Linked DNA regions of Saccharomyces cerevisiae S288C. Changing the gene in region 1 together with any one later gene gives a genetic interaction. Each region holds a gene or a part of one and is shown on either strand. Other genes may lie near its edges.

Region 1 (5,953 bases):
TTATATATTGGAGGATTTTCTCTAAAAAAAAAAAAATACAACAAATAAAAAACACTCAATGACCTGACCATTTGATGGAGTTTAAGTCAATACCTTCTTGAACCATTTCCCATAATGGTGAAAGTTCCCTCAAGAATTTTACTCTGTCAGAAACGGCCTTAACGACGTAGTCGACCTCCTCTTCAGTACTAAATCTACCAATACCAAATCTGATGGAAGAATGGGCTAATGCATCATCCTTACCCAGCGCATGTAAAACATAAGAAGGTTCTAGGGAAGCAGATGTACAGGCTGAACCCGAGGATAATGCGATATCCCTTAGTGCCATCAATAAAGATTCTCCTTCCACGTAGGCGAAAGAAACGTTAACACACCCTGGATAACGATGATCTGGAGATCCGTTCAACGTGGTATGTTCAGCGGATAATAGACCTTTGACTAATTTATCGGATAGTCTTTTGATGTGAGCTTGGTCGTTGTCAAATTCTTTCTTCATCAATCTCGCAGCTTCACCAAATCCCGCTACCAATGGGGGGGCCAAAGTACCAGATCTCAATCCTCTCTCTTGGCCACCACCGGATAGTAAAGGTTCTAATCTAACTCTTGGTCTCCTTCTTACATAGATGGCACCTATTCCCTTTGGACCGTAAATCTTGTGAGAAGAAATTGATAGTAAATCAATGTTCATTTCATTGACATCAATGTGAATCTTACCATAGGCTTGTGCGGCGTCAGTATGAAAGTAGATCTTATTCTTTCTACAAATTGCACCAATTTCTTTAATAGGTTGAATGACACCGATTTCATTATTGACAGCCATCACAGAGACGAGACAGGTATCTGGTCTAATGGCATCTTCCAATTCCTTCAAATCGATAAGACCTTGATCGTCCACATTTAGGAAAGTGACTTCAAATCCCTCCTTCATCATGGCCCGTGCGGCTTCCAAGACACACTTGTGTTCCGTTCTAGTGGTGATGATGTGTTTCTTAGTCTTCTTATAAAATCTTGGGACACCCTTAAGAACCATATTATTAGATTCGGTCGCTCCCGAAGTGAATATTATTTCCTTGGGGTCGGCATTGATCATCTTTGCTACGTGAGCTCTAGCATTTTCCACAGCAGTATTTGTTTCCCAACCGTAAGAGTGAGTGTTGGAATGAGGATTACCATAAAGTCCCGTATAAAACTTCAACATCGTATCCAAAACCCTAGGGTCTGTTGGTGTAGTGGCTTGCATGTCAAGATATATGGGACGAGTACCAAAACCTGTGTTTTCTTGATAAGCATGGCTCATTGCAGTGCTACCAGAAGCTACTACAGCATCTGGGGTGGTACCGGATGCACTCGCACGGGCACTAGCCTGTGCCTTTGCAGCAGCCTGAATATCGGTATGCGTTTCCAGAGAGAAGTTGTCGTCTAACTTCACGCCTGCTGCAGGAGGGGAATAGAATCTCCTGCTTACCAAACAAGCCCTATATGTGGCCGCTGGAACGTTGTAAACTTGAGATAATCTTGTTATCGATCTTGTAGCAGTTGATTTCAACATCTTCCAGTTGTAGCAGTTCCTTCGTGTATGCGATATATTTTAATGAAAATGATGTATCTGAAATAGAAAATATAACACACTAATGAACTCTGTCGGTCTTTACTCTGAGTGAGTTACTTAGATAGTCATCATATATCCCTGGGCGATGGCCTTACTATTTGTCAGCGACCGTATCTAAAATTGGTAGGTCACTATCAACTATTGCGGGTAATAGGGTGCATAATAGTATTGTAATATATATAAATATATAAAGCTACTATGATAGATATTTGTTGCTATTCACGTCATCCACTATTACTTTAGTGGTTCCGCTATATATTCGCATTGCCCATCGAAGGCAGTTTTGTGTGCTACCTGCTCGTGACCACGGTCTTTTTGCCCAGTCTTTTACGGCGGGCATACTTCATGATGAAACTGTCTATTTTCATACCTCTTGAATTTAGTTCTTCAATTAGAGGCTTGATATCCTCCAAGTCCCACTGTGACTGTAGCCTAAACAGGACTTTAAACCGTTCTTTGGGGTCCATTGGTAGTGTGCTTTTCGCTATATACTGGACAGTCTTATCGGTAGGCTTGAAATGATAGCCTCGCAGCATGTCAATGTCAATGTCACATGGGAAGAAAGGTGGGAAAAGGGACTTCCACTTGATGAGGAACTCATCAATTGGCATGCTTATTCCAGAAACATATTTCCTTAGCGCTTGAATCCCGTACCACTGAGCTATAAACGGTATTCTCAAGCGCCACGTATTGTTTTCAGCCTCTTGCTCTTGAACAGCAAATTTATTCAGCACTGTTTCAATGATTTCTCTTGTGTATGGATTGAACTCGTCCTCAATGTCCTTCCCCACAGCGTGATGTGTATCCTCAACATTCAGATGCTGTAGATCGAGTGATTCTGCCATTGCGCTCATCAGTAGTACATGCAGTGCTTTGAAAAGGAAGTCTTGTGAAAGAATACACAACACACCGTCTTTCACAGATCCACCAATCTTATGCCATTTTGATATACCTTCTAGCGCAGAACATGGTGAGTTCTCAAGTAGTTCTTCCAGGGTCCCGATAACCTTTGTAGATGACCTCTTCATGATTTTGTCGGAGAAATCCAGTTCTCCGTTGTATATTGGTACTGAATTCAAGTTCAATTCGCCATGTGTCTCTCTGGTCTCAAATTCTGATTCAGTCTTGGCGAATCCCACGACGTCCATGTACGGCTTGGACAGTCCAAACAAGAGCGTTTCGTCGAAAGTAATAGGTTGTTCAGGAACAAATTCTCTCATTAGTAGAACTGTGTTTGAATGTTTGCGCTGCTTCAGCACCCAAGTCTTGTCGTGCGAACACAGTACAACTTCAGACTTGTCTTTGTCCAATGACTTAAACCTTAACTGGTGATTTTGAACCGGATCCTGTATTATATCCAGTAACTCTGGTGTCAACTGGATCAGCTTATAAGATGGATCATACTCGGGTGCGGAATGTAGGTTGATGGACATGGTACAGGATTATTAGTGAGCAAATCTCTGGTGGATTTTTACCGTTCATCTCATAGTGCTTTTTTAGTTTATTTTTCACTTTTTTCTGGTTATACTATACGCTGCCTACTGAAGCAATAAGCAAGAAACACAACAGTATAAAGGGACAAAGATAATAAACCGCCTACTACTAAATAATATCGCTGTGGTATGCTACTCCTAGAGATTTCGATCACCATCGTGGTGCTCTTTGTCATACGCATAGAATTGACAAAAAAGAACCCTAAGCTATAAATTAGGTCATGTTGAGCGATTGCCAGTTGCCAAGACCTAGGGTTTTGTTCGAACAATTCTAAAAAGGTAAATAAAAACAATGGTAAACAAAGGCTTTGATCTTCAATGAGGAAGATTTCTCTCACTGCGGATAGTAAAAACAACACTAGTTTGTCTGTACTCGCATTCTACTGCTGCTACCTGCTACTCATTACGTGTTCGGGCTGTTATCTGGTTGCTAAAAGAGTATATTTACACCTCACCAATGGAGAAAGACCTGTCGTCTCTTTACTCTGAAAAGAAAGACAAAGAGAACGATGAAACCTTATTTAACATCAAACTATCCAAATCTGTTGTCGAGACCACACCGCTAAATGGTCATTCATTGTTTGATGATGATAAATCACTTTCAGACTGGACGGATAATGTGTTCACTCAATCAGTATTCTATCACGGGTCAGATGACTTGATATGGGGGAAGTTCTTTGTCTGCGTGTACAAGTCCCCCAACAGCAATAAGTTGAACGCTATAATATTCGACAAATTAGGAACATCATGCTTCGAATCCGTCGATATATCTTCCAACTCGCAATACTATCCGGCCATTGAGAATTTGAGTCCAAGTGATCAGGAAAGCAATGTTAAGAAATGCATTGCTGTCATTCTGTTACAGCGCTATCCATTACTTTCACCATCAGACTTATCACAAATATTGTCCAATAAATCGGAAAATTGCGACTATGACCCCCCTTATGCTGGAGATTTGGCTAGTAGTTGCCAGTTGATAACAGCAGTTCCTCCAGAAGATCTGGGGAAGCGCTTCTTTACATCAGGACTTCTGCAAAATAGATTTGTCAGCTCTACCCTGTTAGATGTTATTTATGAAAACAATGAATCCACCATCGAACTAAATAATAGGTTGGTATTCCATCTGGGTGAACAACTTGAACAACTTTTTAACCCAGTCACAGAATACTCACCGGAACAGACAGAATATGGTTATAAGGCGCCAGAGGACGAATTACCCACAGAATCGGATGATGATCTTGTCAAGGCCATTTGCAACGAGTTATTACAACTACAAACAAATTTTACTTTCAATTTGGTAGAATTTTTGCAAAAATTCCTGATCGCCTTGAGAGTCAGAGTACTCAATGAAGAAATTAATGGGTTATCCACAACCAAATTAAATCGACTCTTCCCACCTACAATAGATGAAGTCACAAGAATCAATTGTATTTTTCTAGACTCGCTAAAGACAGCAATCCCTTACGGTTCCCTCGAAGTACTGAAGGCATGCAGCATTACTATTCCTTATTTCTACAAAGCATATACAAGACACGAGGCGGCCACAAAGAACTTCAGCAAAGATATTAAATTGTTTATTAGGCATTTCAGCAATGTAATTCCAGAAAGAGAGGTCTACACGGAAATGAAAATCGAGAGTATAATTAAGGGACCTCAGGAAAAACTACTGAAGCTAAAGTTAATTATAGAGAGATTGTGGAAGTCGAAAAAATGGAGACCGAAAAATCAAGAAATGGCAAAAAAATGCTACAACAATATCATTGATGTCATTGATTCGTTTGGAAAATTAGATTCCCCACTTCATTCTTATAGTACCAGAGTATTTACTCCATCGGGAAAAATCCTTACAGAATTAGCCAAATGCTGGCCCGTAGAACTGCAATACAAATGGCTGAAGAGAAGGGTAGTCGGTGTGTATGATGTAGTGGATTTGAATGATGAAAATAAGAGAAATTTATTAGTCATATTCAGTGATTATGTGGTTTTCATCAATATACTGGAGGCAGAAAGTTACTACACTTCAGATGGATCAAACAGGCCCTTAATCTCAGATATTTTAATGAACTCATTGATCAACGAAGTTCCGTTGCCCTCCAAGATCCCTAAGTTGAAAGTGGAGCGTCATTGCTATATAGATGAGGTTCTAGTTTCTATATTAGACAAAAGCACTCTACGTTTTGATCGATTGAAGGGAAAAGATTCTTTCTCAATGGTATGTAAATTATCCTCTGCATTTATCTCTTCTTCGTCAGTTGCTGACTTGATTACGAAGGCTAGAATTTTGGAAAAAGACACTGCATTTCATTTATTTAAAGCTAGTAGAAGCCATTTTACATTATATTCTACTGCTCACGAGCTTTGCGCTTATGATTCCGAAAAAATAAAATCAAAATTTGCCTTATTCCTGAACATACCACCATCCAAGGAGATATTGGAGGTCAACAACCTTCATTTGGCTTTTTTTGCAAGATTTTGCAGTAACGATGGTAGAGATAACATCGTAATCTTAGACGTCTTAACCAAACATGACGATAAACATATAGAAGTTACATCCGATAACATTGTTTTCACCATAATTAATCAATTGGCCATTGAAATACCGATATGCTTTTCTTCCTTAAACTCATCGATGGCCAAAGATTTACTCTGTGTAAATGAGAATTTGATAAAAAACTTAGAACATCAATTGGAAGAGGTCAAGCACCCTTCAACAGACGAACATAGGGCTGTTAATAGCAAACTTTCCGGTGCATCCGATTTCGATGCTACTCACGAGAAGAAAAGATCATACGGTACCATAACAACATTTAGAAGCTATACAAGCGACTTGAAGGACAGTCCATCAGGCGAT
Region 2 (5,010 bases), on another chromosome or scaffold:
TCACAGTAGACGGGAGCGCTCCACGTGAGGCCATTTTACGGTACGTAGGACCACTACCGTTGGACGTGATGGGCACATGGTGCGGTGTGGAATTCCCGGAAGCCGCAGGCAAAAACGATGGGCGCATAAATGGGGTAACACTGTTTGGGCCTGTGGCGCCGGGTCACGGATCGTTTGTGCGTCCGCGGGCTGTGGAAATTCTATCAAAAGACGAAGAATCCGCCGAGGTGGAAGACGTCCATGATGACGTGGAGAGCGATGATGAAATTTGAATTTGTGCAGAATTAGCGCGGTGGCGGTTTAGTTAGTGATCTCCATCCGATGTCAACATATTATTATTTGTAGTTGTATTTATGTGCACTCGGCGGTTTGTATGAGGAAAAGATGTTATGAAGAGAAAAACTGCCGAGTAATTGAAAGAGATGTCTGAAGTAGCGGAAACATGGGTGGATACCTGGATGGCAAAACTAGTCAACTATGACTACAAGCACTTTATAAGATTGGTGATAATTGTAGGTGGTTATTTACTCTTAAGAAATATCGCATCCAGGGAATTGGCGAAGAAGCAGTTGGCTGCCCAAGTGGAAAAGGACAAACGAGACAAAGAGGAAAAGAGATCAAAAGACCTGATCGACAAGCCAGATGATGCTGCAACAGCAGAAACAACTTCTTTCGGTTGGGGTAAGAAAACTAGAAGAAGAGTTAAAAGACAACAGGAGTTGTTTGAAAACGCTTTGGAAGAGGCTAAGAGAAGAAACCAAGGGTTGGACCCAGATAGTGATGCTGATATTGAGGAACTACTGGAAGAATAGGCTCTCTGTGTATGTATGGGTTCCTCTTTGTCATTGTGACATTGTTTTGTTTTTAGTTTTTCTATAGTTTTCTGATAAAATAGTCTAACCATTACCGATGTTGCTACTTGCATCATTCTCAACGTCTAATCAACTTGCGTTTGCGTCTCAAATTGAGTTTGTAGGTTACGTGTCGCCTTAATAGTCAGCAAATGCCGACGTTTGTGAGACGGATAACGACTGCGATGATTCCCATTCCGCATGAATGATGCAATTCACAATTCAAACACGATATCAAACGACTAAGCCGTGAATTAACGGCTAGAATGCAAAAGAAAATGGGTAAGAATTGATTTATGTAGATACGGCAAGACGATACTTTCCTTAAACAGCCGAGAAACGAAAAGGTTTAAAGAGATGTACTGTGACGTAGAAGAGAAAGGATTACGCAGCAATGGCTTGTCCAAATTTCGTAGTCTAGCCAATTGAAAATATAAATTATTTTCAATACTAATGGGCGGCTTTCGAACAAATGTCACATTGCAGAGGTGATCGTTCAAAGTAATTAGCAGTCATGAACGAGATCTTCTTTTCTCTTATGAAGAAAAAGGCTGATGGTCGACAAGAAAAATCTCAATACAATGGCTACCATTCCACAAAGAAGTGCCTCGCTAGGTGTAACTCAATGAACTGAAATTGCTTTCGTCAGTGGTTTCAACTCTTGTGCGGCCGCATGAAAAATGAAGAGAAATTTGAAAAAATCTCAAAGAAGAAAATAGTTTCCTCATCGCAGCAACCTATAGAAAACAACACGACAGAAAGATATTGTAACTTGATAGTACCGAGCATATATACCCCGAACAAACATGAGTTCTTATAGGGGCGGCAGTAGAGGTGGCGGGAGCAACTATATGAGCAATCTACCCTTCGGATTAGGTTATGGAGATGTAGGCAAAAATCATATTACGGAATTTCCATCCATCCCATTGCCCATCAATGGTCCTATAACAAATAAGGAAAGATCTTTAGCAGTAAAGTACATCAATTTTGGAAAGACTGTTAAAGATGGCCCATTTTATACCGGATCAATGAGCTTGATAATAGATCAACAGGAAAACAGCAAGAGCGGTAAACGCAAACCCAACATAATCCTAGACGAAGACGATACTAATGATGGCATTGAAAGATATTCCGATAAATATTTGAAAAAAAGGAAAATAGGTATTTCTATTGATGATCATCCGTATAATTTGAACCTCTTTCCCAATGAATTGTACAATGTAATGGGGATCAACAAGAAAAAATTATTGGCAATCTCCAAGTTTAATAATGCCGATGATGTTTTTACTGGTACAGGTTTACAAGATGAAAACATCGGACTATCCATGCTGGCAAAGTTAAAGGAGTTGGCAGAAGATGTGGATGATGCGTCGACGGGTGATGGGGCAGCAAAAGGAAGTAAAACAGGCGAAGGAGAAGATGATGATTTGGCGGATGATGATTTCGAAGAAGATGAAGACGAAGAAGATGATGATGATTATAATGCTGAAAAGTATTTCAACAATGGTGACGATGATGATTACGGTGATGAAGAGGATCCAAATGAAGAGGCCGCCTTTTAGTTGAAAATTTATACCGCTTTACCATATTTTTGGATATTCTTCAAAGCAGAATTTGTACAATTAGCATTTTTCTTTATGGTTTAGATCGGCGGTGAGGGCGCAACAGATTTATGTATACATATTGAAATAATAAAATTTAAAAAAGAAAAAATCTTGGTAAACATTAAAAATCTTAATTCTATTTAAATATTAGTATTACAATAACAGCATGTTTCTCTTGTCATTAGCTGAGCCTTGGAGGTGGTCTTTTTCTTGTAGGAGACATCGAATTCTTCCTCGAATTAAAATTGGAATTCGAAGTAGTCGGTAGAGGTGGTAGTTTTGGAGAATTCAGGCCTGATGGATGAGGATGTGAGTTAGGCGAAGAGGAATCTAGGCGTGAGGGTCTATCTCTTCTTACTAACGGCGTATTGCGCGAACTTGAATAATTGGACATATCATCTCTGGTCGGTATAGGAGGTAAGGGCGGTTGGTTATAGTTGTGGGAGACTCTATGGCTGGAAGAATAAAATGCGTCATTTTCGTCGTCATCGTCATCATCTTCGTCGTAAGACAACGAAGTTACACCAATAGCCTTTTGAAGTGCCTCAATATCTACCTTGTTAGATTCATTTTGGCAGTTGTTTGTTGAACTATCAGGATTCTTAAATATATTTATCTTCTCCTTTAATTTCCTTAAATTGGCAAAATGGAATTTTGTATTCGAAGTGTTTGATATAGCAGTATCATTAGTTTCTAATGTAGACGTTGTACCCATGGATGCTGAAAAAGTTGGAGGTAAAATTATTGGGTCATTACTATTTGCCAATACCGCTGTATCTGATTTAGATGACATGGAGAAAACATTGCCATTTCTGTAGGGCTGTCCCTCATCCTTATCCTCGTGACTTGTGCTAACACACTGGGGAGTAATCTGTCTCATCGTAGAACCATGAACATAGTCATACTCTGATTCTGTTGGCAATGGTGGTATCGGCCTCATAGCCATAGATGAATCCAACCTGTCCATTTCTTTGTTAAGATCGTCCCTGTTTAAACGAGGTACTTTGGGAGTGAAAGTCAACTCAATGAATATAGTGCCAGCAAATTCATCCCCACTTCTTTTCAGTTCGTACCAGGTACAATAACCCTCCTTCGGGTCTGCTCTAATAGCATTTAAAAGGTCTATTTCACATCTTCCAATTGGCAGCGGAGATTTTTTCCTTCTATCGCAGTAAACTTCGACGTACATTAAAGGCTTTATCTCTGGAGTAATATCAAATTTTTCTAAATAATGGAAAACAGGGTTTTGACCTGCTCGATGTAGAGTGTTGCTGGCTCTTGTCATATGAGCTATTCGCAACCTAAGCATTACATTTTGCTTGTCCAGTTTATTCAAATTAGGCAAGTCTCTAGCTTTGCTCACATATACGGAGAGGATTCCTTGGTTTCCATTCCATACTTCTTCGGACATTCGACAGTGACTCAACGAGTTAACCCAATTCCAGTTGTGAAACCTAAGGTCTCCGAATTCTCTCGTACTATTAACATACCTTTCTATGTTTTTATCTAAATCATATGAGGAACGCTAGGCCGTCATTCATGATCAGCAGAGGCGGCTTTTCATACAATTTTACAGGAAGCTAAGTACTTAGAGGACTTATGCTCTGTTTGGTCCTGCGGAAACTACCAGAATACACAACGCCAAGAAACTAACAGAGGACCATTATGGAACTGTTACCACAGGGACAAAGGAACAACACTCAGGTAACGTTCGAAGATCAGCAAAAGATCAACGAGTTTTCGAAGTTGATTATGCGTAAGGACGCCATTGCGCAGGAATTGAGTTTACAGAGGGAGGAGAAGGAGTACCTCGATGATGTGTCTCTAGAAATTGAATTGATTGACGAAGATGAGCCCGTGCAATACAAGGTGGGCGACCTCTTTATCTTCATGAAACAGAGCAAAGTTACCGCACAGCTCGAAAAAGACGCAGAACGTCTCGACAACAAAATAGAGACTTTAGAGGACAAGCAAAGAGACATTGATTCCCGTCTTGATGCTCTGAAGGCGATCCTGTATGCTAAATTTGGTGATAATATCAACCTTGAACGTTAGAACACTCATTAAAGTGTGGGCTGTGGGTGTCTCCACAAAATGAGTAATGAAAAATTTTTAATTTTTTCAGGAGGGAAATTAAAGAAAAGTAAAGAACATGATAATAAAAAGCAAGTTTAAGTTATTGTGTATGAGATAGAGTTTTTTTTGTATACCTTTGTAATCCGCATATATTCCTAAGTACCTTTTTTTTCAGACAGAAAAAAAGAGTTTCTTTACGGAAATTACTTCTTTCGTTTGATATTGTTTTTCTCTTTCGAGATTTAAGAACGTGGTTGTGTTTCGTGTTTCTGTGCAGATCATATTAGAAAGTTTTTTTCTCCATTTTGATAGACAAAACTTGTTGTTTCTACTGAACACAGCATATAAGCCAAGAAAATAGTTTTCCAAAAATGTCTCAAGTGCAAAGTCCTTTGACAGCAACGAACTCTGGTTTAGCTGTCAATAATAACACAATGAACTCACAAATGCCTAACCGTAGCAATGTTAGATTGGTCAAT
Region 3 (7,983 bases), on another chromosome or scaffold:
GGGCCAGAGGACTTTTGAATGATGGATCTTGTCATAAACACTATTAAACCCATCAAGACAACACCAGATAGCGAAAAGATTAAAACCATGATTTTGGCGCCAACCGACTTGGGCAGGATGTCACCTAGTCCCACGGTTAATAATGATACCGTGCAGAAATATAATGCATTTCCGTAAGTGATGTGCAATAAACCGCTAAACATACCCGCACCCCAAATCAACCATAAAGACAATAGTACAGTGTATGCCATGATACTTCTTTCATTGGGCAAAAGGTTGAACGTTGGAGGATATTTTCCTAATTTATATCCAATAAAATGTATTGTTAAAATAATGGTGCATACCAAATATAGACCAGAACTGATACAGGCAAACCAAAATCCGATAGTCTTACTGTAGATGCTGGGCATGTCATTCAAGGAGCATACAATCACGTCCACCAAAAGCATCCCTCCAGCTATTGTCCATCCTGTTATATTTATTAACTGAGATTTAAGATACGTCAACTTCTTACTGAAATGTAGCATTAGTATAATATTTGACGTAAAACCCAGTACCAAAGAGATGATATTAACGGCAAAAATACCAGGAGGATCAAAAACTGTCTTTACTTGATTCATCAAAACATCGGTGTCATTGCTTCGTGGATTTGTCACCACGGAGTTGTTCTTTAAGGATCTCCATTTTTCAACTACACAGGCTATCGAGATAGTGTTAGCTACGGGACCCAAGCAGGCAGTAATCACAGGGAAATAGCATGAAACCACAAACCAAAAGACGAACAGTGTTGAAGAAGGCTCTGCATTAATAATACTAACTCTTTCGTCCCGGAACCGCAATGCATCCTTTAGTTCCTCTGCAAGAACACCCTTAGCTTGCTTCGGTGTGTTGTTTGAATGAGAATCAACAGCCTGAGCTGAGCTCTCTTGCTCCACTGTCGCCATATTGCCATATCCCAGCGTTTGTTTGGCAAAGCTGTTCATGAACCTTGTCATATATATAGAAATCGGTAAAATAAATACAAGAAATATGCTTTGTTATACTGCTAGAAAGGAGTGAAGACATCTGCTCACGATCTACGAGATGCGGCTATTTTTGATGGAAAAAGATACATAGGGTCAGGCATTTTTGCCATATTGAATAACCAAGATGGTACTGAGTACTCAGGTAATGTATATTACATTGAGTACTTCACTTGTATACACAACCACTGCTTCGTATTGTATATCAAGTATCTAACTGTTGATAAACTACAACTTTCTCTTCAACCATAATGATAGCGCCGCTTAAAACATGCTAGGGTAACGAGACGCGAATGCGAAAAACTCCCAAAAAAACCAAAACAAACAAAAGTGACAACAATTAGAACGATGCTGAAGAAGAATAGGAGCGAGTTTAGAGTTACCTCCAGCTATCCTGATACTACTGCTTAGGCTACCTTCGCAGAGTCTCGATAAATTTGCAGTCGGCAAGATAAGAATATTTCTCTACAGCTTTTAGACAGCTTCCTGTCCCTCTAGTTTCTTTTGCCATCCATAATTGTACTCTGCACTTTGAGTATCATTCCAATTTGATCTTTCTTCTACCGGTACTTAGGGATAGCAAATGTCGTCGAACAATGATCTTTGGTTGCATTTAGTATCCCAGTTAAATACTCAACAGAGAGCAGCGGCCCTCTTTGATTACACTAGAGGGCTGCAGGTCATTGCCGGTCCCGGCACAGGGAAGACTAAGGTTTTAACTTCAAGAGTAGCGTATCTTATTCTGCACCACCATATTCATCCCCGCGATATTATAGTGACTACTTTCACTAACAAAGCTGCTAACGAAATGAAAGAGCGTTTGCAAGAAATGTTACGCGGGGCAGGCGTGAATATTTCGGAGCTCTTAATTGGTACTTTTCATAGTATTTGCCTGAAAATACTTTATAGATTTGGCCACTTGGTGGATCTACAGAAAGACTGGAGAATTATTGATGAGAAGGAAATAGATGTCATTTTAGATGATATGATCGAAAAAGTTCCCGACCAAATAAGGGATTATGCTTCCTCAATCACAAGGAAAGTAAATCTTTGTATGCCGAGTAAAAATGGAGATGAATGGACTATTCATCCGAAGCTGATCAAGAAACAGATATCAAAGCTAAAATCAAACGCAATATTACCTGAGGAATACATCTTAGATTCGAATCATGACGCCGCGCTTGGTTACTTTTACCAAATATACCAATCAGAGCTAAGCAAGAAAAATACGTTAGATTTTGATGACTTATTAATGTACACCTTTCGTTTGCTGACTAGAGTGCGTGTTTTATCCAACATAAAGCATGTTTTAGTTGACGAATTTCAAGATACTAACGGCATTCAATTGGACTTGATGTTTCTTTTTGCTAAGGGAAATCATCATCTTTCGAGGGGGATGACCATCGTAGGTGATCCTGATCAAAGCATATATGCTTTCAGAAACGCCTTAGCGCACAACTTTCTAGAAATGGGCAGAAAATGTCCCATCGAGTACTCAACTATCATACTTGTTGAAAATTATCGTTCATCACAAAAAATTCTAAATACAAGCGAAATTTTAATAACGCAACAAAACAAAGGTCGGCAGAATAGGGCTCCACTCCGTGCCCAATTTGACCTGGATTTTCCACCAGTTTACATGAATTTCCCCGCTTACTTTTTGGAAGCACCTTCTTTAGTTCGGGAACTACTATATTTGAAGGCATTGCCAAACCTATTCACATTTAATGACTTTGCTATCCTAGTAAGACAACGAAGACAAATTAAAAGGATCGAAAGTGCATTAATAGAACATCGGATACCCTATAAAATTATTAGGGGCCACAGTTTCTGGGATTCCAAGGAAACAAGAGCGATGTTAAATTTATTAAAATTGATATTTTCTCCGAATGACAAACATGCAATTCTTGCTTCACTTTTATATCCAGCAAGGGGCCTTGGTCCTGCTACCGGTGAGAAGATTAAGAACGCATTGGACACGTTAGCTACCGATGTGTCATGTTTCCAAATATTGAAAGACATAAGTAGTAAAAAAATAATGCTAGACATACCGACGAAAGGCCGTTCTGTGATTGCTGACTTCATTTCAATGATAGAAAATTGTCAATTGTTGCTCCAGAGCACTTTACTAGGGGGTCTTTCAGATTTATTTGATAAGCTATATGAATTATCAGGTCTGAAATACGAATACTTGTACAAGGATGGTAAGAAAAAAAATGATCAGCTTGAAAAATCCGAACCTAATTTATTAAACGCAAGACATAAGAATATTGAACTTTTGAAAAACTATTTCCTGGCTCTTCTTTCCAAGTCAGAATCTTCAGATAAAGAAAAAAATGAAGCCATTAAAGCAGCAACAGATGAAGCCGAACCAATAGAGAACAAGGTCATCACTCCAAAAGAATACCTCCGTAATTTCTTCAATTCACTTTCCCTTCATTCTGATGCAGCTGAGGAGGAAGAGTCGGAATCCAATAAAGATGCAAAAATAAAACGTGAGAAGAATGGGTTTGTCACGATATCTACAATTCACGGTGCCAAAGGTCTTGAGTGGCCGGTAGTTTTTATTCCTGGATGCGAAGAAGGTATAATTCCTTGTGTGTTCAACGATGATAAGAAAGACGAATCAGAGGAGGACGAAGAAGAAGATCAAGAAAATAGTAAGAAAGATGCAAGCCCAAAAAAGACTAGAGTTTTATCCGTGGAAGATTCTATAGATGAGGAAAGAAGAATGTTTTTTGTTGCACAGACTCGTGCAAAATACCTGTTGTACCTATCAAATACTGTAACTGTGGAAGATGTCGATAGACCAAGAATTGCAAGCCGATTTTTGACTACTGACTTGATAAAAGCCATGTCCGATAGCCAAAAATTATTTGAAAGTACGAATAGTATCAAAAAACTATACCGAATTTTGAACAAAAAGCCGCCTGCTGAAGATGATAAACTATTCTCCCTTGACCAATTGCGCAAAGACTATAACCAATTCATTGAAAATAGGAGAGAAAGGATGATTTGGCAAGGGATACAAATGAATGATGTCTATGGAATACAGTTGTCTAGAAATAAATTATTGGGTTCTGTTAGTGATTTCACGTCAGCTGCGGACCAGTTACGACTCGAAACGCAAAACTCTATATTCCCACAGAAGAAACTTATTGAAAAATCACGCCCATCCAAAATCAATGGCAATTACGCTCCTAAAAGTAGAGTTAAAAGTCCAGAAAAAAGGTACGCTCCAGAAACTACATCATTCCATTCTCCTACAAAGAAAAAGGTGTATGCACCTCAATACGTTTCAACAACTAATGTACCTAGTAGGCAGGAGTTTCATTCTTCTACTGGGAAAAATATTCCTTTTCTGAGAAGAGAAGATAGGTCCATCACAGACATATCACCACGATCATCAACGAGGTCGTTAAAAGGAGCATCTCCAAATAAGACGAGCCACATGTCAGATGATTTAATGAGACCATCACCTACGAGGAAGGACAAAGTTACTCGTAATATTCATTTCGCAACTGCAGGAACTTTCAGAATAGAAACCCAGTCAAATGTTGATGAACTGCATCCTCCGGAATACTCCAATAAATCAGGGCAGTCGCTTACGTCGAGTGAATTTTCTGGGTTTTCTAGCGCGTGCAGTAATTCTGATCAGCCAACGAACTTAATAGAAGATATAAACAACGAATTAGATCTATCCGATGAGGAGTTATTAAATGACATATCAATAGAAAGGAGGAGAGAGCTTTTGGGCTCGAAAAAGACGAAAAAAATAAAACCAAAAACTCGAAATAGAAAGTCTAAGAGAGGTGACAAGGTTAAGGTGGAGGAAGTGATAGATTTGAAGAGTGAATTTGAGGAAGATGACAGCAGAAATACAACAGCTGCTGAGTTATTACATAATCCGGATGACACTACAGTTGACAATCGTCCAATAATCTCCAATGCTAAGTTTTTGGCTGACGCAGCAATGAAAAAGACACAGAAATTTTCCAAAAAGGTGAAGAATGAACCTGCATCAAGTCAAATGGATATATTTTCTCAGCTGTCACGTGCGAAAAAAAAGTCAAAATTAAACAACGGTGAAATCATAGTCATCGATTAGTAGCACTTTCATGCCTGACTACGTCAACTATTGGAGGCGGTTTATAATTTTTATTTAAAGCACATAGGAGTTAATTTTATTTTACTGGTAGGGTTTGTATACGAACTACATGGAAATGTGGATGGTGTGTTATTATAGCTTAATGAATATTCTTTTTCTATACAAGAAAACCGATATGACAGCTATGAATGAGCAGTATGCCAACAAAACCAGGAATGATTTTAAGGGTGAAGAATCTATCGTGACCATAGACATATTGACTAAACCAGTAGAGACATTTGCCAACAAAAATAAAAACAACCCATTGGAGTTGATTGATTCCAAGCATTCGGCAACTTTATAATATTCCGAAGAATTACCGAAAATTTTGTCAGTCAAGCAGTACCCAGTCAAAAATAGTAAATTATAAGTAATGACCCACAAAGTATATGGTAAGTTAGCAAACCTTCTTGAAACACTATAAGGATGGTATTGAAAAACCAACTGGCTGATAACAAGAAAAATTGTACTCCATATACAGAGGCCACTTAATGGGGTTACTGAAGTCCAATAGTCCCAAGTCGAAGACTTCTTTGATGCTGCAACTACGTCTTGCGTAGAAGGCTTATAAAGATTGTTTAAAGTTGGTTTATTTCCCAACAAGTAAAATCCCGTGTTTTGGCCCCAAAGAAAAATCGAGCAATAACCTAGAAATGAGAAGATGCCTTCTCTATTAGCACTGAAGAAACAATTTCTATCAGCCAAAATTAAAAAGTTTAAAGTGCGATCGTCCTTTAAAAGTAGCCATTCATAAATGCATGAAATGAATATTGCAATTGAGCAGCGTGGAACCATTCTTGTGACGGGATCAATAAAGGTCAATACAAGTGGCAACAATGATAGGGTGATAAAAAAATTCCAATGAACCCCATATTCTGTGACATGTTCTTGATATTCCAAATTTTTTACAAAAAACAACCTCAGCAATCCTAGGAACAATAGAGTTCCTCCTGATTTTAAGGCATTAAATGCATTTTTTAAGAAGCTGGGTTTACTCTTCAAGCTTAGGTTTTTCAACAGTGCCCTAGAAGAAACAATACCGTTACTGAAAACGAATGATCCTACACCAAGATCCATCAGGGATGTCCCCCAAGTTTCCACCTTGGCAAACCTCCTTGGGAAAATTGGAAAATCTACAGCCAAGATGGCAATAGCAGTCAGAATAAGCATCCCACCACGATACGCAGTAATATACGGCTTTTTTTCTAGTTGGAACCGCTGTGTAATCATTTTTTTTTTATTGTATATTGGATTAGAAGGTTTACTCGAGCTAGTAAATTTTCCATATATGAATGCGAGCAAACAAGGTAACAGTATTAGCGTGTTTAGAAGGTATGGTTCACTAGCATAAATAGTAATAGATAGAAGCAAAGCAACCCAGTTCAATGCAAAATCAATTATGTATTGCACGCTGGAAATGCCAGGAGGCATAAGGTTGGAATTTTTCAATAAGTTCCATGATATGTAAGTTACCAAAGCAATTGATGTCACTGCGTTAATTTCTGTTATAGAACCGCCATTGAGCCCTGTCACAAAGTCCTCTTTTCTCTGTTTTAAAGTCGACATATTCTTCTGATGTACTGTTGCCATTTATTTAGATATTTACGTGTCTTCTTATTGCGATCCTCTTTTTCTCATGCTGTTTTTTCACGCGAGCATGTCATGGAAAGTATTATCATACAAAACGGTAATACATATAGATGAGTAGATTTGAATAATGCTGTAGATGGCGTATGTAAATGAATATCTTATAAAATTACGGACTACATTTCAAGAATCTAATTCCTTTGTCTGATTTCTTGTCTGTCGTCTCATAGGTTTTTCTAAAGAGGCAGTACGTTTCTTATCTTGAATGGAGCCATAGGTAACTTGAGTATGTGAAACTTCCTCAGTTCTTGGGATCTCTTCTGGATTAGAAATTGCAGTCGGCTGCTCTGTAGGCACATTTTCTGACATTATTGTGCCCCAACTCGTGGTTCGTTTAATTTGTTTAGGAACGAAATTTTTTGGCAGTGACTCCAACTTGATCCTTTTCGTATCCGGCATTTGTCTCTCTGAAGAAACATCCATGATACTCGATGAGACACTACGCTTTTTTCTTCCAGAATCAGTTTCTCTAATTTTCTGCAATAATTCGTTTTTGGTATCTTTCATAGAGTGCTCCGATAATGAGGAATTGTTTCTTTTCAAAAGAATAGTTTTGTCGATTTTTGGATCATTGTTTTGGTACTTTTTTTCTGAACTAATGCTGGTATAGTATGGTTTTTTTATCTTACATTTAAAATCGTCCTTGTGTCCTCTTGGGCAGATAATACACCACTTGATATTGTTTAAAAAGATTTCATTATTTTCTCCAGATGCAGCGGACAATAATTTAAAAATAAATGCTGGAGTAACTACCGGTATGGAGTGGAATTTCTTGATATATTCAATTTTCCTTTTCATCGAATTTCTCAAGATTGAATTATTTTGAAAATCTTTTCTGTTATTATCACCAGGATCATCATTATTGTTATTAATGCAAAACTGAGTAAAAAGATCGCTAAATTCATTCGACCATAACGGATGGGTTTTCGGGATACTGGGTAAAGCTGCTAAGTTGATTAGCAGAATGTCAGTGGATTTATTGAGGTATTCTACATAATTGATGCCCATTGGTTTTAGAAGATTTAATACTTTAGTCAGATGTAACAGCTCTACGCCAGAGAATCCAGTGATAGTAACATTCAGAAAAGGGGAAGAAGAAAATTCATGATGCAATAACTTTGAAGAAGACGAAACTTGAAACTCTATTGTGCTGAGGAAGGGTTTTGA
Region 4 (5,905 bases), on another chromosome or scaffold:
GATTCTAAACCAAGAAGGGCTTTAACAGATGTACCAGTGAACAATAATCCTTTAAGCCAGAACAAGAGAATAGTAGCAGGGAGCAAGGCGGCCAAAGTACGAAGAGAAGAAAACATTAGACCTATTGTTAGCGCCGTTCAAAAAAGACAGATATATAACGATCGAACGGCAGCAGAGCAAGAAGAAGAAGAAGAAGAAGAAGGAGAAGATGATGATGCTGCTTCGATAGTGAACAAAAAACGCAGAATAGACGCTGAAGGAGTGAGTGAAATAGTAGGCTGGCAGGACCTAGATTATGTTGAAAAAGATGATACTGCAATGGTAGCAGAATATTCTGCTGAAATTTTTGCATTTTTATATAGAAGAGAATTAGAAACGTTACCATCGCACAACTATTTACTCGACAAAACGTCCAAGTATTATTTGAGGCCTTCCATGAGAACAATATTAGTGGATTGGCTGGTAGAGGTGCACGAAAAATTTCAATGCTATCCGGAAACGTTATTCCTATCCATAAACTTAATGGATAGATTTTTAGCTAAAAATAAAGTTACGATGAACAAGTTACAATTATTGGCAGTTACCTCACTTTTCATCGCGGCAAAATTTGAAGAGGTAAATTTGCCCAAACTAGCTGAATACGCTTATATCACTGACGGCGCGGCTTCTAAAAACGACATAAAAAATGCGGAAATGTTCATGCTCACTTCCTTAGAATTCAACATTGGTTGGCCCAACCCACTCAATTTCCTAAGGAGGATCTCCAAGGCAGATGATTACGATCCGGTTAATAGAAATATTGGTAAGTTTATTTTAGAGTATGCCTACTGCTGCCACCAATTCATTCATTTACCTCCATCTACCGTAAGCGCAATGGCAATGTATATAGCGAGAAGAATGACCAACAGAAACAAGAACGAGCTATGGAATGGAACACTACAGCATTACAGTGGTGGTATCGATCCAATACACGATGAAGCGTTTCAGTCTCTCTGCATTGATCTAGTCAAAGACATCGCTAGTTCCAAAACTCATTTAGATTCATTGATTTTGAAGTACAAGAAACCAAGGTATGGCTCTGTTTATTTCCAAACTTTCAAGTGGTGTACATCCGAAATGCATAGCAACTTTCAAAATCTATTTAATCTTAAGTAGATTAGTACTAGTAATGCTCATGAATTCGCATACTCTTTACATTTTCTTTTCTTTTTGCTGAACTAAAAGGAAAAAATTTTTTGCATCTATCTATCTATCTATATATATGTATATATAGTTTATAGTGATATGCGTGTTCACTTCAACATATATAATACCACCAGTATTACTACTATTATCATCATTAATATTAGAATTTTTTTTGTTTTTAAATTTATTCTTTTATTTTTATTATTATTATTATCATTATTACTATTAAAAAATTATTATTATTAATGTTATTCCAATGTTAATTATAATAACTATACTGAAATAATTTTAAAAGAAATGAAAAATGAGAAGAAAGCAGCATTTTTTAAGAGACTAAGGTTATGATATTTCCCATAATATCAACATCCGATACTGATGCTTTTCTTTGTCTACCCTCGCTACATGCATCCGGAAACGGTTGAACTGAAATAGAATAAAACTTATGGTACAAATCTGAAATTAAAATTAAAAAATTAAAATTAATGGTGTGGTGTTATTAGTGAGAATAAAAATGGAGTTTTATTTTGGAAATCTTAGGCTTCGAATGATTTTTTATCGTCAGTTTAAAAATAACAGAATGAAAGGCGCTAAAATTGGGTGTGAAATTTGTAAGAATAAATGGAAATGTGAAAAGAAATGATTAAAAAGCAGCCATACATTTTATATGGACATTTATCGATTATCGTTTTAGATATTTTAAGCATCTGCCCCTCTTCTCATTCATGCAAGGTCATTATATCATAGCCGTTTTTTCTAACCTTTAAAGCCCATTGGACGGAAATTATAGAAGCTTTCATAAATCTTCTAGATTGATATTTTCTATGAAATTCATCATGAACAATTGGACTCACTAGATAATCCATTATCATGTGACACACGGGCGCAAGTTCTTCTTTAGTATACCCGCCGCTATAGTGTATTAGATTTCCATCCCATTTACCTTTACCTAACATTTTTCTCGACATAAACATCGCAGCTGCTGCACACAATGAGGGTAGTATCCCAATAAATCTGAAATCTACCAATGATATCTCTAATAAGAATTTGGCAAGAGTTCGAGACTGTATATCGTAGTCATCTGCTTTCGAAATTCTTCTCAGAAAATTCATCGGATTGGGATAATTTAGGTTAAATTTCAATGTCTTTAAAATGAATTTCTCCCCTTCTTTGATTTCATCTTCCGTACATGCACCGTCTGTCTCTGATGCGAAATGTTTTATACTAGGAGAATAGACCTCTTCATATTTAGAGGCAATGAAAAGGCATGATGTGCCAACCAATTGTAACTTATCCAGTTGAACTAGCTCTTTACCTAAAAACCTGTCCATTATGTTAATGGCAAGATACAAAGTCTCCGGTAATAAGCCGAATTTATTATGGATTTTAACCAACCAATTAACTAGGATATCTCGATTTTGATGAATATTTCTATGCTGATAGAGATCTTCCTTCTTTGGAAGAGTAATGACCTCTAGTTGGTGGAGATATTCGAATATATCATTGACGTACTCGCTGACCATGAATGGATCATTTACATCTTCTGCATCTAGGTCTTCCCATTCATATTCTTCTTTGCCATTTTCATCGCACACTTTAAACTTTTTGGGCAGTTCTTGTTCAACAATTGTAGAAATTGGTCTTTTTTTTCCACTATCAGTTTCACTTTCGGTATTTCTAACTTGAAGTTGACTTCTAGCTGGATGAAGTTTTTCGTTTTCTACCGAGTTATGGACTACCTCAGTGCTTGATCCAACGCCTTTTAGGGGATCATGCTGGATTATCTCCTTCGCTGAGGAGGATTCTTGTAAACTTATATTTGCAGGCAGCTCAGCTCTCCCCTCCTTTATAGAAGTTAGCGCACCAAATTGCTGACTACTTGGGTCTTGGTTTTCTTTATCATCTAAAAGATTGTTTTTGGGGAGTTGGATACCATTTTCTTTCAGGGTTCTTTTCTCCTCTTGTGCGGCTGTTGATCTTGATACGCTTTCTCTAGTAAATTGAGGAATCCGACTTCCCTCCTTCTTTACTGAGTTTAGTGTAGATTTGAAATTTGTTAGGGCTGGATTATTCGCATTACTCTTTTGAAATGTCGTATTTGTTACATTGTTTAAGGCCAACCTTTGTACATTCCTCAAAAACCTTGATGAACTAGTATTCTGTGAGTTTTCTGTGTTTTCTATTGGGTTGGACATCTATAAGATCAATGAAGAGAGAGAGGGGGTAATCAATAAAAGGCTTCTTGGAAGGAAATAGCAAGTTATAAAAAAACTTCTGACAAACGAGCGAATGAAGTTTTTATACAATGATTAAAATTTCTCCAATGTCGTTAAAAGAATCTAAAAGGACAAAAATACAAAAGGAAAACAGATGCTCAATCAAAGAACCGCTTCAACAGATATTCTATGTCAATTTATTGAATAGCTCGCAGTAGGTTTTTATTATACACTGGCTCAATCAAAAAGAAAGAAAAAAAGAAAGAATAAATAACCAGTATCCTTTAGCTATATTTCTTTCGCTTTTCAGAAGTATCAATTCGAGAATACTTTACTTCTTGAGGTATAGGACAAAATTAATACCAGAAAGATTCAATTTTAGTAAATTTTTGGATCTTTTCAAAAGTCTAGCTAAATTGGCAAAAAATTAACCTAAAAAAAATCTATTTTATTATATTTTGATTTTTTTTCCTTTCTAAATTTTTGAGAAAGGATCTATTTCTCTTTTCCCCAAAGAGGTTATATTTTCCATTAAGAGCAAAATTTCTGAAACTCTATGCCCATGCTATGAGATGCTAGCTGTAACGAGTTTGCTATTTCCTCGAGGGACAGGCACCGAAGTTCATCCATATCGCGAACTTCGTTGTTGACCTTTTCCTGATTCGGTCGCTATATTTACAAATCTCCTTTTTTGATTAGTGCCTTGAACTTGCACTTTCCTAAACGGGCTCAATATGTAAACATATTATACAAATAGTTACCCGCATTTGGAATAAAATCTGTCTTTTGGCGGCTATTTCCGCGTGTTTGATTAGAAGGAGTAGTGGTCATTCTAATAATTCCACTGTGCTAATGCACTCGCACTTAATTTTTAAACTTCCGATGCATCAACACTAATGATCATAGCATAAAACGCGTAGAAGGCGATCTTAAGTTTGAGTCCCCCTAAGGCACCTTAGTAGACGGTCAAGAACAGGGTGTGAATATGGGCGATATTCAAGCGAGATTAGGACTTATAAAACAACAACAACAGGGATAACAAAACACTTGACCCCTATTTTTGTAATAAAACCGTTTTCAAGGTAAGGCAGTTAGTAATTTATGTACAACAGAAATTTCTGCCATTTCTTTCACGACAATAACGTAGGATAAGGCCATGAAAAACAAAAATACTAAAGTGCTTATCTAATAAAAGGAAAGGATTAAGCAGTTCCTGCCCATATTTTGGAAAGGCCGTAGCTTAGTTTCCCTGAAATTTACTTCAAGAAAGGTCTGCTTAGCAGTCACATATGTCAATTGTGGGCTGTTTAGTCAAAACCACTTGGAGGTTGATGAATTGATAGTATTTTGGTAAATGAACTAAATATACATTATCAATAAGACGTTGGAGGGGCTTTCTGTATAAATTCACCGAACACTCCCAAATTATGATAAACTTGCTTAAGCATCTTTTCGAAATGCAGTGCATGTGTTAAGTGACAAGCTAAAGGTAAGACATTACGATAATACTCTGTATAGATCGTAGTAACATGAATTATGAAGCATATAAAAATAATATGAAATGTTCATCGAATTTAATAAGTATAAATGCATGAAGATAATAATTCAATAAGATAGATAAACAAAAACGCATGAAGAGAACTTGTAGAACAATAAGCATATATCACCACTCCACTTTTTCTGAAAATTGTGTAGAAATGTAAATTCTGTGATGTTCGTTATGATTCAGTTTCTGTTTCTCAATCTCTATGTCATACTCTTACGCTATATGATAACACACTAGTAGTAGGAAAACTGGTCAAGAGATGATTGTTGTTTCTTTTCCCAACTCATACACCCCAAACAAATGCCTTTATCAAAATCCGATCTCAACACTTATCTTAGTTTACACATTTATCAAATAAGGTTGGCAATGTACCTTTTTCGGAAGGTAAACATCAAATATTTATAGAAATATTTATTAAGGACGCTCTGTTGTATTACGGGCTCGAGTAATACCGGAGTGTCTTGACAATCCTAATATAAACAGTCTTAGGGAAGTAACCAGTTGTTAAAACAGTTTATCAGATTAATTCACGGAATGTTACTTATCTTATATACTATATAAAATATGAATCATACTAAGTGGTGGAAACGCGGAATCTCGGATCTAAACTAATTGTTCAGGCATTTATACTTTTGGGTAGTTCAGCTAGGGAAGGACGGGTTTTGTCTCATGTTGTTCGTTTTGTTATAAGGTTGTTTCATATGTGTTTTATGAACGTTCAGGATGACGTATTGTCATACTGACATATCTCATTTTGAGATACAACACGCTCCGAAGAACTCATCCTTGTTAGCTCAGTTGGTAGAGCGTTCGGCTTTTAAGCGCATTTGCTTAAGCAAGGATACCGAAATGTCAGGGGTTCGAGCCCCCTATGAGGAGTTCTTTACTTTTTTGCACGTTTTACAAATATGCAGAAACAAAGACAATACATATTGTATCAGTTGGTTATAGTGTTTTGGAC

What was found.
Region 2: mutations in DCC1 (region 1) and GIM3 together harm fitness more than expected from each alone (negative genetic interaction), as found in Saccharomyces cerevisiae (8 studies listed by BioGRID, with this or other methods).
Region 3: mutations in DCC1 (region 1) and SRS2 together harm fitness more than expected from each alone (negative genetic interaction), as found in Saccharomyces cerevisiae (9 studies listed by BioGRID, with this or other methods).
Region 4: mutations in DCC1 (region 1) and CLB2 together harm fitness more than expected from each alone (negative genetic interaction), as found in Saccharomyces cerevisiae (7 studies listed by BioGRID, with this or other methods).

The regions. Positions count from the first base shown.
Region 1 is NC_001135.5:92,722-98,674, forward strand, and holds DCC1 (Dcc1p), read right to left. Parts: upstream 3,043-5,953; coding exon 1,900-3,042; downstream 1-1,899. Other genes in the region: NFS1 (cysteine desulfurase), read right to left, coding at 56-1,549; BUD3 (Bud3p), read left to right, coding at 3,560-5,953. UniProt on the Saccharomyces cerevisiae protein: Component of the RFC-like complex CTF18-RFC which is required for efficient establishment of chromosome cohesion during S-phase and may load or unload POL30/PCNA.
Region 2 is NC_001146.8:345,169-350,178, reverse strand, and holds GIM3 (tubulin-binding prefolding complex subunit GIM3), read left to right. Parts: upstream 1-4,120; coding exon 4,121-4,510; downstream 4,511-5,010. Other genes in the region: ALF1 (Alf1p), read left to right, coding at 1-272; PGA2 (Pga2p), read left to right, coding at 423-812; RPC31 (DNA-directed RNA polymerase III subunit C31), read left to right, coding at 1,658-2,413; INN1 (Inn1p), read right to left, coding at 2,637-3,866; serine/threonine protein kinase YCK2, read left to right, coding at 4,903-5,010. UniProt on the Saccharomyces cerevisiae protein: Binds specifically to cytosolic chaperonin (c-CPN) and transfers target proteins to it. Binds to nascent polypeptide chain and promotes folding in an environment in which there are many competing pathways for nonnative proteins.
Region 3 is NC_001142.9:255,818-263,800, forward strand, and holds SRS2 (DNA helicase SRS2), read left to right. Parts: upstream 1-1,605; coding exon 1,606-5,130; downstream 5,131-7,983. Other genes in the region: TOK1 (Tok1p), read right to left, coding at 1-995; GWT1 (glucosaminyl-phosphotidylinositol O-acyltransferase), read right to left, coding at 5,263-6,735; protein kinase activating protein DPB11, read right to left, coding at 6,940-7,983. UniProt on the Saccharomyces cerevisiae protein: ATP-dependent DNA helicase involved in DNA repair at least for UV-induced lesions. The polarity of the helicase activity was determined to be 3' to 5'.
Region 4 is NC_001148.4:769,125-775,029, reverse strand, and holds CLB2 (B-type cyclin CLB2), read right to left. Parts: upstream 3,378-5,905; coding exon 1,902-3,377; downstream 1-1,901. Other genes in the region: B-type cyclin CLB5, read left to right, coding at 1-1,155. UniProt on the Saccharomyces cerevisiae protein: Essential for the control of the cell cycle at the G2/M (mitosis) transition. Interacts with the CDC2 protein kinase to form MPF. G2/M cyclins accumulate steadily during G2 and are abruptly destroyed at mitosis.